Linked DNA regions of Tamandua tetradactyla. The protein of the gene in region 1 purifies or fractionates together with the protein of each later gene. This does not show direct contact. Links are inferred from orthologs where the notes say so. Each region holds a gene or a part of one and is shown in the gene's direction. Other genes may lie near its edges.

Region 1 (6,921 bases):
AAGCCCCAAATCACAGAGCTAGAAGGGACAGAGCTAGAAGTGTATGTAATACACATCTGTTTGGGGCCCTAGGAGAGCTCACAAAGTGCTACAGTGGGCTGTAGAGAGAGGTCAGGCTGCAGACAGAGGCTTTCTTAGGTGAGGTCCTAGCAGCCTGATGAAAGTTCTACTCCTGAGCTGGCTACTCACCTCCATAGAGCAAATCATCTCTCTTCACCAGATGTCACTTTCCATCTGTGTAAAAGGAGGGGCTTGCACTGGAGGAGAGTGATTCTAATGCTCTTTCTAGATTCATAATCTGTTGATAAATACCCTTTGGCTAATGGAAAAAATAATCAGAATCGAAGTCAGTTTTTCTTTCCAGTGTTCCACCTGGGAGCCACTCCAAATACATGAAAACCTTTTGGCACGTCTACTTATGAAGTTCCTCCCTGATAGGACTAACCATTCCCAGGGAAACAGAGTCGCTGCCTCCACCCCCATCCCACCTCTCTTGAACTTTGCACTGACCATGATGAAAAATTAACTGGGCTAATGTTTCTCTTCCAAGGATGACCTTTGCAAAAGCAGGCCTGGCTGGGCCCCTGGAGTCCAGGCGCCAGAACGGAGTTCCCAACCGTCCAGAGCCACCCACCCATCCCCACCAAAAGCAAAGAGAGCACGCAAGGTCCTCTTCATACTAGGGGGAATCAATTCTTAACCCCTGCTCAGCACCAGGTGAAACCGGACTTATTCTCCCAACTCTGAGAACCTGAGGCCAGGGCAGAAAGAACGAGCCCAGAAGCCTCACTTGGACTCACACAGTCCAGGACTGTTTTTCTGCATGCACAGCAGCTGTCCCTGTCATACGGATGCCGGCATGTTGAGGGAGGAAGCACAGGGAAGCATGCACGGTTCAGCCACACTAACTAGCTATCCAGTAGTTTTTTCCTCCTCTCAGGAAAATGAAAAAATGGCTGAACGAGGGCCCCTTCTGATGCTGTGATTTTAGAGGGAGCTCCCAGAAGGGGTAGGTTCATGTCAGGCCCTTCTACCATGTTCAGATCCTCTGCACAGCAAGTACTGTTTGCTCCATTCTTACAGCTCAGAGAACGGACACTCAGTAAAGGGAGAGAGAGAGAGCCAGGATCCAAAACCAGGTTAGTGGATGATGGAGCCTCAGCTCCTTTCACTTTACCTGGCTGCCTCTCAATAGTCAGACCTGTTTGATTTGATGCCAGGTTAAAATGAACATTTTCCTGGGAGATGGTTATTGCAAAGGCCTCCCTTTTGCCCATCCTTGCCAACTAAGGAACTCCTCACTCCTCATGCTTCTCTAGACCATGAGCTCCCTGAAGTTAGGGACCCTTACTTTCATTTCCACATTTCAGAACTGAGTAGAAGGACTGCAACACTGAGGGGCCAAATAAATGCTTATCTTACTGAACTGGACTCCCTCATCCACACCATTCTGAAGGCGTTCGCAAAGGCCCCAAGATGTCAGTTCTACTCCTTTATGACACTTGACCCTTTGCAATTTACATTAGATTCCCACAACCTTCCTAGGAGGTTGAGCGGAAAGCTATTTCTAATCCCATTTTGTAGGTAAGCAAATATTTCTTGCGGTGTCACAACAGTGCACCTGTGTAAAGGACTTTTGTTTTGCAAAGAGCTCTATCAATGATGTCGCTTTCTTCCACCACTCTGCAAGGCAGCTAAAGAATGCGGACTGAGGCCTCACAAAGCCTGGGCTTCAAATCCCAGCTCTGTAGTTTGGAACCCTGTGCAAGCATTGTCATCTCTCTGTGCTTCCAGTTCTGGTTCTGTAAATTGTGAAGATTATTAAATCAGAGGGTAGCTCTTGAGTCACCTGGAATGAAGAAAGCAATCAGTAAAGGCTGATTGCCTTCCTTCTCTTTTTGTATGGGGAAACTGAGGGCTGAGAACGAGGGAGTGGAACCTAAGAGGACAGTGATTGTCACAGGGTTAGCAGGAGGGCCAGCCAGCAATGTGAACCAGGCTGCAAAGCCTCAGTTGGGAGCTCAGGGCTTCTCCAAGCAGGTGGGGAGTAGGGAGGAGGGGGGGCAAGAGTGTAGAGCTCAGGAGCAGCTGCTGACCGGCTTGCGGAACCCGCAGCTCTTGGGCTGACTTTGAGGATTCGGCCACACCTCGCTGGGCTTTGTAACTCCCCACCTGCTTGAGGGTTTGCCGCTAACTTTTTTTTTTCTCACCACGGGGGTTTCCTGCTGTTAAAAACAAACAAAGGCTATGAGCCTGATAGGGGAAGCACAGAAGGAGATAGCCTTGGGGAACCGGGGTAACTCCTGAAAGCAGCTGAGGGGTCTGTGGTCAGAGGCCCCTGAATTCTGCTGGTGAGGAGAAAAACCCCAGGTCTCTCCAATACCTCCGGTATTTCTCTGCTTTCCACTAAGGCTAACTCTGAACACATAAACTTCTGGAGTACTCCCCATTTGCCCCACTTCTTATGACTTCAGGCTTTGGAAACAAAGCTCTTTCACCCTCTATTTATTGGGTGTCGAATTTCAGATCTTTTTTTTTTCTCTATCATAAGAGCTCACAACGACCTGTAATGTGTACTTTTTTTTTTTTTATATCAAAACTAAATTTCAAAGCGCCCCCATTCACTCCTTCATGTACTCGATACATGTCTTTGAAACCCATTTTCTGTCTGGCACTTGGTTCACAGGGTGCAAGGAATCCCTGGCTCCTGATAGAGCCTAGGGAGTCACTGGGTTCCCCAAATCTCCACTTGCAAGAGTCATCTTCTACCCCCCTCAACTACCGCCTCCGCACACAGGCTTAGGGCTCTCACCCGGGGTGACCGAACCCGTGAGTGAATTTTAGAAGTTCCCAGCCTGCCTGCGAGGCCCCCGACCGTGGTCAGCCTGGCTGGCCTAGTGCACGTCCTGACTTCGCCGGCCTCAGCCTTAAGTGCGCCCCCTCTCGGGCCCGGGTCTCCAGGGGTGCATCGCCAGCCCCGGGCCAGACGGCGCTAACTTGAAGCGGGTCTACTCCTCCCCCGGCCGCAACTTCATTTGAGCTTCCCGGGAGAGGGTTCCAAGAGCGGACGCCACGGCCCTCCCGCCTAGGGCCCCCTCTTGTTCCTTTCCCACGACTTCCTACCCGCGCCCGCCCGACCTCGGGTCGGGGCCGCGCGGACTGCCGCGCGCTCCAGCCCCGGGCCGCCGCGGTCCCCGGCCGCCCACGTGGGCCTGCTCGGCGCGGGGCGGGGGCAGGCCGGCAGCCCTCCCCGAGCCAGGGGCGGGCAGGGCGCCCGGGGGAGAAGGCGGCGGGGCGCGGAGAAGGAGGCGGGGAGCCCCAGCGGCGAGGGGGCGGTGACAGCGTTTGGAAAGGAGGCTGCACGCGGATTTGCATGAAACACAGACTGGGAGCGGGCGGGAGCGGGAGCGCGGCGCACGCACCGGGCCGGCCCAGCGAGCGAGCGAGCGAACGAGCGAGCAGGGAGGAGGAGGGAAACTGGGGAGGCGAGGCGCGAGAGACCGAGGGATTTGCGCGTCAGAGCCGGCGAGGAGAGCAAAGTTTGGCTCAGGGGTCGGACTTTTCCTTCCCGGAGGCGGCACCCAAACAGCCACCCCGTGCGGAAACCCAAACTTTTTTCAGCCACTCGAGTCTCCAGGCCGATTCCTCCGCCCGGCGTTCGGGGCCTGCCCGACCCGGCGCCGCTGCCGTCCTCCTGCCCGCCTCCTTCCCCTTCTGCCAGCCGTGGGAGCCGCTTGGGGCGCACGCCGAGTCCCGCCGGCTGCAGCGCCGCGCGGCCCAGCCCGGCGCACCAGAAAGTTCGCCCGGAGTTGAGGAGAAGTTTGGGCGGCCGCGGCCGGCCGGGCAGAGCTCCCCTCTGCGCCCCCGGCGTCCCGCCGCGCCCAGCCCCGCCGGGGGCGCCCCTCGCCGCCCGCGCCCTGACCCCCACCCAGCCTCCCCTCAGCCATGTCGTCCATCCTGCCCTTCACCCCCCCGATCGTGAAGCGCCTGCTGGGCTGGAAGAAGGGCGAGCAGAACGGGCAGGAGGAGAAGTGGTGCGAGAAGGCGGTCAAGAGCCTCGTCAAGAAGCTCAAGAAGACGGGGCAGCTGGACGAGCTGGAGAAGGCCATCACCACGCAGAGCGTCAACACCAAGTGCATCACCATCCCCAGGTGGGGGCTTGGGGGGCCTGGGGGGCGCGCCGGGCCCAGCCCCCTGGCGCGGAGAGGCCGGCTCTGTGGGTTTGGAGAGGCATGGTGTGTGTGTGTGTGTGTGTGTGTGTGTGTGTGTGTGTGTGTGTGTGTGTATGTGTGTGTATGTGTGTGTGGGGGGGGGGAGCGAGAGCGCGGACAGGAGGGGGGTGGGATGGGGGACCCCCAAGCAAAACCCTCTCTGAATTTGCAGTTATTCAGAAATGCTTTCAAACGGCACTCTCGCTTCCAGACTTCACGTGCGCTTTTCGCCGCTCAGAAAGTAGGGGTTGGGGTGGGGGTGGGGCTGCTGGCGTTGACCGCCCCCACCCCGGATTGCTGCGGGCTGGAAGTTGAGGCCCGCTTTGTTCGGCTCGGCGGGCCCGAGCCCCTCCTCCGCCGCCACCGCCGCCGCCTCCCGCCCCGCGGCCCGCGCTCGTGGAGGTGGTGGTGTCTCTCCCTTTCTTCCCCTCAGTCCTGTGCCCCCTCTTCTTTCCTGCTTAACAGGAATGTAGTCCGTACAGCTGGGGCTGTGGGTGAGGAGCGGGAGCCTCGTGATTGACAGATTCCTTCTTCGTTCTCTCTTTGCCTTCGGGATTAGCATTTTTATCGAGTATTTTTAGACTCGGTTGTGCCAGCCTCCCGCCCCCTCCGCAAGCATGCACTTTTAAGTTGCAGTGCAGTGCTCTGACTTTCAAATGGGAGAGACAAGTGGCAGAGAGTAGGGGCTTCCTGTCCTACCCTCTCCCATCCCGGACTGCTTTTGCTCTCCTTTTCAGTCTGAGATTGCGGGGTGAAGCAGAACACAGAGCGGGCTAGAGCCGGTCAGATAACAGAACGCAACCCGAAGTGGGCCTCCATCGGCCCTCGCATTCCTGCAGAGCCCTCCTTCCCAAAGCGCTTTGCCATCTGTTTGGACCTCCTTTATCCCCCGCATCGGGCAAGCTGGGTCGGGCGGGAGCTCACAGATGGCTGATAGAAAGGGGTCAGTGACTTCTCTCCTCTCCCCACGACCTTCCCTTTATCTATGCTAGGCTGGGAATTGGGATGGGGTGCTGGGGGCCACCTTGGCCTCCTGTCTCTCCCTCCCAGACCCCTTTGAAATCTTATTCTGAACCAAGGCCAAGGGAGTGGAGTGCAGAGGAACAAGTTGAGGAGCCCCAGGGCCTGATTCTGGGAGGGATTTTCATCCTTGCTCCTGGGCCTGGAGTGGACTCCATCCTTGGCCACCTGCTTGGGGCAGCTGTGCAGGGGCTGCCAGCCGGGTCAGGCAGGCACAAAGCAACATCTGTCCAAGGGAACCCAGGACAGGCCTCCTTTGGAAATAAATGCCACATATGGTGGGAGTGCTGACTTTAAAAATAATAATTTTTTTAAAAAAACTGGGTGGATCCAGTCAGTAAAGGGGGAGGGAAGGCGGTGTGCTGTCTGGAAGTGCGCTCTGGGTGTGTGATTGGAAGTTAGAATTGACTTCAGAGGAGGTGGTGTGATGTGATGATCAGAGCCACCTGGGTTCTGGCCTCAGCTCTGGTTTTTTAATTCCTCTTTATTCCTCTGATGGGATTAGATATCATCCTTCCCCGACCTAGAGAGGGGTCTGCAAAACCTGCTTTCTCCTTACTTGTGGAGGTACATCAAGGACAAATGCTTTATGGGCTACAGCAGAGAAATGATGTCAGTTGTAACAACAAGCAGCTATATAAAGTGTTTCACAATTTACAAAGCACTTTCACATGGTTTTATGAGGTTCTCGGAGAAAGAACCCTCTGGAAAATAGATAAAGCAGTTATGCTTAAGATTCTCATTTTTAAAGTTGAGAAAACTTTGGAGGAGAAAGGTGAAAAGGTTTGACATAGTGGGCAAAGATATCTGGTGCTCTTTTGCTGCCTTGTACTCTGAAGGTTCTGAATAAATTATTTGCAGAATGCTTAAATCACTGTTATGCGTGTACGTGGGGGGTGGGGGGACTGAAGGGGGGTTGGTGCTTCCTTTAATAAGGGTGCTCGTGTTTAATCTTCGGGCAGGTTGCAGTTTGGAGAAGCAGCCTGGCTTTCTCTTGCCTTGGTGAGAGTTTGTCCTCTGGAGAGGCATAGCTCTGGCCTGCCTTTTCTTTTTCCAAAGCCCTCCAAAGCTGAGCCGTGTCAACACTTGGTAGTTCGGGCTAACCTGCTCCTGAGCTTTTTCCTTCTTAAGGACTGGGGCACCTTTTACCTGCCTGGCAAGGATCTATTGCTAAGGTACTTTTTTATTTTATTTTTTTTTTATTTTTATTGTTTATCCTTTCCCAGTTAGGGAAGCCCAGTTTCTTGGTTGGATCCAGACAGAATGGATTTCCATCCGCGGATTTCATGCCCGCGTCTCTGGGTCACCTTGTTTCCCTTGGCAACAGCTACTGCTGTTTTGGTCGTGGGCAGAAAACTAAAGGCCACGTCTTGGGTAGGTGGCTGGCGGCCTCGTGCTAGTGATACTGGAGTGTCTGCTAAGCCCCTTAGACGGTGGAGCTGCTTGTCAACTTGTCTGCGTTTTTCACGTAGCCTCTTCAAACTCGGGCTTTGGAAAGTAGACAAGGGGAACTGTTTAACCTGGTCATCCCGCTTGTGGGGGCACACTCTGCCATCTGGGCCCGGGGTTGAAGGAGCCCTCAGACCAAGGGGATTATGACAAGCATACTTTGGCTAATGTGTAATCGCGAGCAGCCACAGCGTTTGGCAATTATAGCCGTATGCTAGAGGCTTCCAGAACACATGCTCCT
Region 2 (7,802 bases), about 9.5 Mb from region 1:
GGAAATATTTCAACAAGTTCTCAAGATTCACTTAACTCATTGCGTTAAATCTGCAAACTTTGCTTCATGTTCTTCCAAAGAGTTCACAAAGCTGGCAACATAGTAAGTTGCCCTAACTTGCAAACTTTATACAGTTTTGAAGTTTGCAGTGGATGGTGGGGATACCAATCCTCCCTTTTGATATAAGTGATTTGTAAAAATTGTCCTTTTATCCTTTTATTGCAGGTGACCCATTAATTCAGCTTAGCATTTTCACGTTTGGACCCAACTCCTCAAATTCCTGCGTAACAGGTAGTTAGGCATTGTCACTCCCTGTATGCAGGCTAATTTGGTAAATATTATTTTGCTGCATGTCAGGTAGGCAAAATTTGGTTTGAAGAATGTGTTGGATCCCCCTGATCTTTCCACAGATGAGTAAAATTAATTTTCAGAGAGTTCAAATGATTTAATTAAAATGAAGGATTCCTAGTTTTTTAGTGGCAAAACTGAACCCCGGTCTCCTTGTTCAGTTCATTAAAAAATTTATTGAGTGCTCTTCTTCTACAAGGATAAAAAGACAAATTTTCTTGGTTTTAGTTTTTTTTGGAAGAGACAGTTGTATATAAAATTTATACTGTTTACAATAGAAGGATATACCAAGATTGAAGAGGGTATGGGACTGGGAGTGATTATTAACTACCTCAGGGTGGGGAAAGTGGCAAGGAAATGCTTCATGGAGAAGGACTTTTTTTTTTTTTTTCATGGGCAGGCACTGCGAATCGAAGCCTGGTCTCCAGCATGGTAGGCGAGAACTCTGCCACTGTGTCACCATTGCCACAGACTTTTTTGTTTCACTTAAAATAATTTTTTTTTATTAGATCAGTTTTAGGTTTACAAAAAAATCAGGCAAAAAGTAAAAACTTCCTATATACACTCCCACACAGTTTTCCTTATTAGCATTTGCATTAGTGTGGTACCTTTGTTACAGCTGATGAGACATTATTATGCTTATACTATTAACTATAGTCCACAGTTTTCTTTAGGGTTCACTCTTTGTGTTGTACAGTTCTATGAGTTTTTTAAAATTTTTTATTTTTTAACATATAAACAAACTCAAATTTTCCATTTTAACCACTTTCAAATATACAATTCAGTGGTGTTAATTACATTCACAAAGTTGTACTACCGTCCCCACCATTTTTTACCGAGCTTTTCTATCAATCCAAACAGAAACTCTACCAATTAATCATTAACTCCCCATTCTCCACTCTCACTTTGGACTCCGTCTCCTGTATGGTAATTTCTGAAACTATGAATCTGCGTATTCTAATTATTTCAAATCAATGAGATCATATAATATTTGTCCTTTTGTAACTGGCTTATTTAACTTAGCATGATGATGTCTTAAACGTTCATCCATGTTGCTGCATGCATCAGAACTTCATTTTTTATGGTTGAATAATGTTCCATTGAATGTATATATTACACTTTTAAAATATACTATTCATGATTAGATGAATTATTATTCATCTGTTGTAGGACACAGATTTTTTTGGAAATTGTGAATAATGCTGCTATCAACATCAGAGTGCAAATATTTACTCAAGTCCTTGCTTTCAATTCTTTTGTGGTATATACCTATAAGTGGGATTACCAGGCCATATGGTAGTACTGTTTTTAACAATCTGAGGAACTGCAAACTGTTTTTCACAGTGACTGCACTTTATATTCCCACTAACAGTGTATGAGTGTTCCTATTTCATGGGGGAGGGTTTTGAGGAATGGATAAGAGTTTGCTAGGCAGATAAAGCAGGTGGGGGATGAAGAGGAATGGGGTAGAGTGCTTTGATGCAGAAAGAACGGTCAGTACAAAGGCAGCGGGAAATGAAACAGTACATTTTTTCTAAGATCTACAGGAAGTCTGAAAAGTCTGCTCAAGTATAAGTAAGGGCAGGAGTGTAGGCTGGTGACAGCGGTGATGTGAAATGGCAGTGAGATTTTAGATTTTGAATACTTTATTTGGCAAGCTATTTAGGACTGTATTCTAAAGAAGACAGAGGGTTCCTGAAGGATTTTAAGCAAATTAGTGTCTTGATCAGTTTTTCCAACATTTTGACAATGGTCTGTAGTTCATTTGGTGATAATGGAAGGAGCAGAAACAGAGAAATCAGGAAAATATTGTGTCCATTTCAGATTAGCGATATCTCTGACCCCTACAATTAGCTATTATATCTCTAAATACAACTTTTTGGCACCTGTTCTCTCATAGTCTTACTGTGTTTCTACTCTGGGTTTCCTGCCCTTGATTTGTTGCCCATATACTTACTGTCTTCCCTGTCTTCATCTGACCACTCAGCCATTTCCAAACGTGAAATCTTAGCAGATGGCCTTACCTCATGTTTCATAGAGAAAATCAAGGTCAATCTATCCGAAAGCCCTCAATTTGCCCCCCAAAACTAAACTGTCTCAGTGGAAGGGGTGGCCCTTCCATTCATGGCTAATTCTTCCACCTGAGCTTTGAATCCCGTTTCTCTGCCTCTATAGGGATTTTTCTCCTTTGAGCATTCCTTTATTTCTATTATCTTTCACCTCTCTTTTCTACTGGCTCTTTCCCTTAAGCAGGCCAATAGGATTCAAATCGTGCCTCTCTGACTCCATATTCTGTTAGATGTGTCTGTCTTTATTCTTCCATTTACTATCAATTTCATGAAAAGATACTTGTCTCTGTCTAACTTCATTGCTCAATCTTTTCTAAACCATTAAGATTTCTCAATCTGGTTACTACTGACATTTTGGACCAGATGATAATTTGTTTTGGGGGGCTGCCCTGTGAATTACAGAATGCATAGCAGCATCCCTAGCCTCTACCCACTAGATGTTAGTTGCATTCCCCTCAATCTCCCCTGGTTGTGACAAACAGAAAATGTCCAACATTGCCAAATGATGTGGGGGTGGGGTGGATGGGAGTGGAGAGTGGTGAGCAAGGATTGTTCCCAGTTGAGAACCACTGATTTAACCCAGCATATCCAAAATATTATTTCAACATGTACTCATTATAAGAAATTAGTGGGATATTTTACAGTCTTCTAAAAATAATCTACTTTACATCGTGGAATTGGATGTAAAATTTCCACTTACAGCACTTTTCAGTTTGTACTAGATCAATTTTAAGAGTTCAACAGCCATATTAGAGAGTGCAGGTCTAAAGCTTTAGATGAAAGATTAGGGCTGTACATATGGGTTGGAGAAATCATGAGGCATTAACAGTTAAAACCATGTTTTAGTTCAGACAACTAAACTAAATAGTTGTATTTAGACAAAAATGTGTATTTTTGTTCACATTTGAAAAAATTTTCAAAGTTCAGACAAAAATGTGTATTTAGAGTGAGAAAATAAGAGGATTAAGGAAGAATCCTAGTCCATTGCTCTTCTAGTTTCCCTACACATCTGCTGCCCCCCCCTTTTTTAAAGATATCTTCACTGAGCAATATGGACAACATGAGTGAACAAAGGAAAGGGTATTGAGAAAGATGAGTTGATGGCAAAGGAATTAATGTTTATTGAACATTTAACTGGTAAGTAATATTAGGGACATTAATTAAACTGTCTCATTTAATCTCACACGAACCCTTTGAGGTAAATAATGCTATCCCAATTTATAACGAAGGAAACTAAGATTTACAAATATTTAATAAACCAAACAGCTGTTAAGTGGCATCATTGAAATTTGAAGGGGAAGTCTGTCTGATTGACTCTAAGTTGGTGCTCTTTCCCTACATCCTCCAAGTGCACATAATGAAGCATGTGCTATCTATTCATTTTATAAGATAATTAAATAAAAAGGCTTATGTGATTGTACAGCTACAGCCAGGTTCCCAGGACGTTTATTACCACTGTTAATCTGATTCCGGAAACAAATTCGCCTTAATAATTCGCACAGTGAGGTGCTGTGCGTGGTCTTTATGCCATTAGCGCGGATGATTTGGATATCACGGGTCGTGAAAGACACCAAACCATGCTGTTTTTAAGTGTACCGTAGGTATAGTCAATAATTTTGTGGCTAGTCCAATTTTTAGTTACAAAAGATTTATCAAAGAGGTAGTAAAAAATTTACCTAGGTATTGAACACACAATCACCAAGGAAAATAAAATAATGAGCTTTGTGACACGTTCGGTTTCGCCAACAGACTGGTAAAGTGATTACAAAGGGGGAGGGGCGGGGCAAGGGGGCGGGACAGTGGGAAACAAGAATCTGAGCAAGCGCAGAAACAAGCGCTATTAATGGAGCCGTGAAGGCTATTGCGCTCTCACTTTCCGAACTGTCGTAAAGGACCCAAGTGTCGTTCTCGTTCTGTAGAGGAGGGATTGGTTAGGCGGCGGCGGCAGCGGTAGTGGAGCAGCAGCAGTGGCGGCGATGGTATCGAGGTCCTCGATTTGCGCAGCATAGAAACGCCCGCATCTTTGGAGAAGGAGTTTCTCTGGGGCGAAATCAGGCATTCTAAACCCAAGCCGGGTTGACTGGGCCGAGCCCAGGCATTGCCGGTCTTACAGTTTTGGTGGCGGTGACAGACGCTGCTCTTGGCTACAGGGGCCTATTTAGGCCGAGATCTGAGTCGCGGATCGCTAGCTCTCGACGCATTCCCTTCCCCCCTCACATCTCCTGTCTTCTTTCCTGGGCCAGTGATTCCCGGACCCTGGGAAGAGGGTGGCTAATGACTAAGGTGAGGGGCCGGGGGGAGGGGATCGATTGGAGGCCGCGCGTGCGCGCATCGGGGGAGGGGCTGCCCAGGAGGCGAGAAAGAGGAAGGGCTGCGGCTGGGGTCGGCGACCGGCGGGTTGTTGCCCGCGGGATGGTGGCCTGGGGTCTGAGTTTGGATTCGGGCAAAGCGTATGTGTACAGACACACCCACACCCCAGAGTAAGGGAGTATGGATGAGGGGATTTCTTTCCTTTTTTGACTCTCCCTAGTCTTATGATGGGGGCTCTTGACTGAGGCGTGAGAGTACAATTTGACAATGGAGTGATGAAGGTAACCTGGACTGAGGGAGTTGGAGGGCGCTAGGTCAACCCTGCCGATTAGGGAGTTGCCTTCTTGTGAGATCAAGGAAACATAGTCCGTGGAACAGCCGAAATACAGACGCGTCAGATATTTGTGTGGAGTTGACTTGTAGATCATTAAAAAAGAAGCTTGATTTTTTTTATTATTGCCCTTAGATAATTTACCAGAGTCAGTAGCTGTGCTATAGTGGACATACCTATTCTGTATTGCAGGATGAGAGATTTTCCCACAATAGTTTTAAAATAGGTTTTGGTAGATTTTTGCAGATGCTTCTTAAAGCAAGGGTAATTTTTAACGTTTAAAAAATACCAGGAAGTATAGGGTGTTCATTTATTTTGTTGGTGTTTGTAGTATGGGGTGACTCCACTGCACTGTTGTAAGCTTTCCTGTTTCTTGGTTTACGTGCACTATGAATTTAGAACTCTTGAGTGATAAGATACAAGCTGACATAGGCTTCGTTTTATATGAGTTCTTACTGCTTTTCAACCTGACTTCAAAGTTTATTTCGCTTGATATTTTATACTTTTCTTGTTTTACGGGCCTCTTCAACCAAAAAGTACAGGATGGGGAAAAGATAAGCCTAATGTTGCCTTACCTTATCTTAGCCTTTGCCATTTTTGTCTTTTATGTCATTGCATTCATATGCTAGAATGTGATTTTGATGTTACCTAGAAGCTCTACAATACGGGTTTTACCTGGCTTAATTAGAGATGAAGATCTACGTTTCTATAGTTTACAATCCTTACTAAAAATTTTCATGTCAACATAAAACATGTTGTTTTTCATACTAAATAGTAGTCTTTGTCTACGTTTGTGGGACAAACCAGATGGGATAGGAAGAAAGCAACCCCTTTACCCTGAAAAGAGTCTTGAATAGGATTTTTTTTTTTTTTTTTTTTACAAAGCCTTTATTTGGTTCCTAACACTGTCTTGCCATTTAACCTTGGACAAATGACTTTATCATCTCTGCTTGGTCATTTTTTTGTTTGCCGCTTAATATTTGTAGTAGTATTCTAAGAATTGGTGAGGGATGTTTTTCAATTGGCTTGAACAATATTGTTGGTAAATTTTAAGAGTAGAGTTTCTGTCTTAGGTAGATCCTTTTTCTTCTGTTACCTTTTCCCTTTTGTTTGGTGTTTTTTGGCCACATAATTCTTTCACTAAAAACTGTTAGATCTTGGAGAAAGGTATTATCCAAATAATATGTTTTGATGAAAAATTTATTATGTAGAGGTTATAACTTGAAATTTCTAGATTTGGTGACTTTCACTTTGGTAGTAAGTCTATTCTCAATTTTTCCGCCTGATTGGGAAATAGCTATACTCATATTTAAAACAAGAGAACAGCAATTTAACATCTAAAGCTAAGAAATTTTTAGTGAATGCGCTTAAATAGAATTATTTTCATTTTTACTCACATTTTAACATGTGGAATGAAAAATTTATTGAATTGAACCAAATTTTACTTAAGGCATAATAATATGTGCCCTTACTTTGATTAAGGACTAAGTAATCAAAGATTACTATGGACTAAGACTTCGAATAGGAAAAAAAAAAATGACAGTCCTAAAAATAATAACAATTAAAATACATTATAATGACGTCACTATTCTCAGAGGACAGTGTCTTATGAAAGAATATAGGACGAGAGACAGTAGATCAGGATTTTTACATCTGGTTTTGCTATCCATTAGACCTTTGACTGTTTTGCTAATCTTTGTTGGCTTCAGATCACTCTCAATTGTTAAAAAGAGAAATTTGGGACAGATAATTCTGGTTTTCTCTAATCTCTTTATTAGATTTGTTTTAAGGTTAGGTGTTTTTGGTATATATTGTTGTATTCATCACAATCAAATCCCCAGAAGGAAATTCTATGCTCAGAGTATAAATTCCTTCATATTATGTATATATATCAGAAAAATACTTAGGATGAAGCCGTGTTTGTTGTTCCACATGAAACTACTGTCCTATTGCAGATACTACTCATGCTCTAACAGCCTTCATTAATAGGGTCCTCAAATATTACTCCTAGTAATGTTCTTTAATATCATCCTGAATGTTTTTTCTTTCAGAAACTTGTAATCATTGTTCAGTAAAAGTCCAGAATTGCATTTGGATGTTTTATACCTCTGTTCTTTGTCTTGTGCATCCTAGAGATTCTTGGTAACAACTGGCCCTGTTTTCCGCAGATGCTTGATATGTACCATTGCATGAGGAGTGAACTACATGTTTATAAACAAATTCTGAGCTGAACTTAATTTTTTTGGGGGGTGCATAGTCCGGGAATTGAACCCGGATCTCCTGCATGGAAGACAAGCATTCTACCATTGAACCACCCGTGCACCCTGAACTTAAATTTTAAGTAGAGGTACTACATTAGTATTTAGTCATTCAGTGTGTATTTATTGAATGTTTTATGTTTTAGGTAATGTTCTTGGTCTTTGGGATTCATCAGTGAAGGTAGCACTCTGCCTTCATGGAGCATGCCCTCTGTTGTGAGGAGACATAAACAGAATAAATTCAGGTAGTGGTAAGTGCCGGGAAGAAAATGAAACAGGATCTGATAGAGACTGGATCTACTATGGATTGTTTAGGGTGTGCCTTTTTTTTTCTTTTTAAACTTTTTTTATTGTATAATATAGCATACGTACAAAGCAAAAAAAGGAAAAAGCAATAGTTTTCAAAGCAGTCTTCAACAGGTAGTTATAGGACAGATCCCAGAGTTTGTCATGGTCCACCATACCATCATCTCAGATTTTTCCTTC

The links.
Region 2: the proteins of SMAD3 (region 1) and RNF111 purify together in Homo sapiens (affinity purification with western blotting; 5 studies listed by BioGRID). This does not show direct contact. The link is inferred for Tamandua tetradactyla from reciprocal best matches to the Homo sapiens genes SMAD3 and RNF111.

What each region holds. Positions count from the first base shown.
Region 1 is NC_135340.1:84,248,006-84,254,926, forward strand, and holds the start of SMAD3 (mothers against decapentaplegic homolog 3), read left to right. Parts: upstream 1-3,916; 5' UTR 3,917-3,945; coding exon 3,946-4,151; intron 4,152-6,921. UniProt on the Homo sapiens protein: Receptor-regulated SMAD (R-SMAD) that is an intracellular signal transducer and transcriptional modulator activated by TGF-beta (transforming growth factor) and activin type 1 receptor kinases.
Region 2 is NC_135340.1:74,777,987-74,785,788, forward strand, and holds the start of RNF111 (E3 ubiquitin-protein ligase Arkadia), read left to right. Parts: upstream 1-4,795; 5' UTR 4,796-4,829; coding exon 4,830-4,897; intron 4,898-7,462; exon of another isoform or gene 7,463-7,520; coding exon of another isoform or gene 7,521-7,561; exon of another isoform or gene 7,562-7,567; intron 7,568-7,802. UniProt on the Homo sapiens protein: E3 ubiquitin-protein ligase. Required for mesoderm patterning during embryonic development. Acts as an enhancer of the transcriptional responses of the SMAD2/SMAD3 effectors, which are activated downstream of BMP.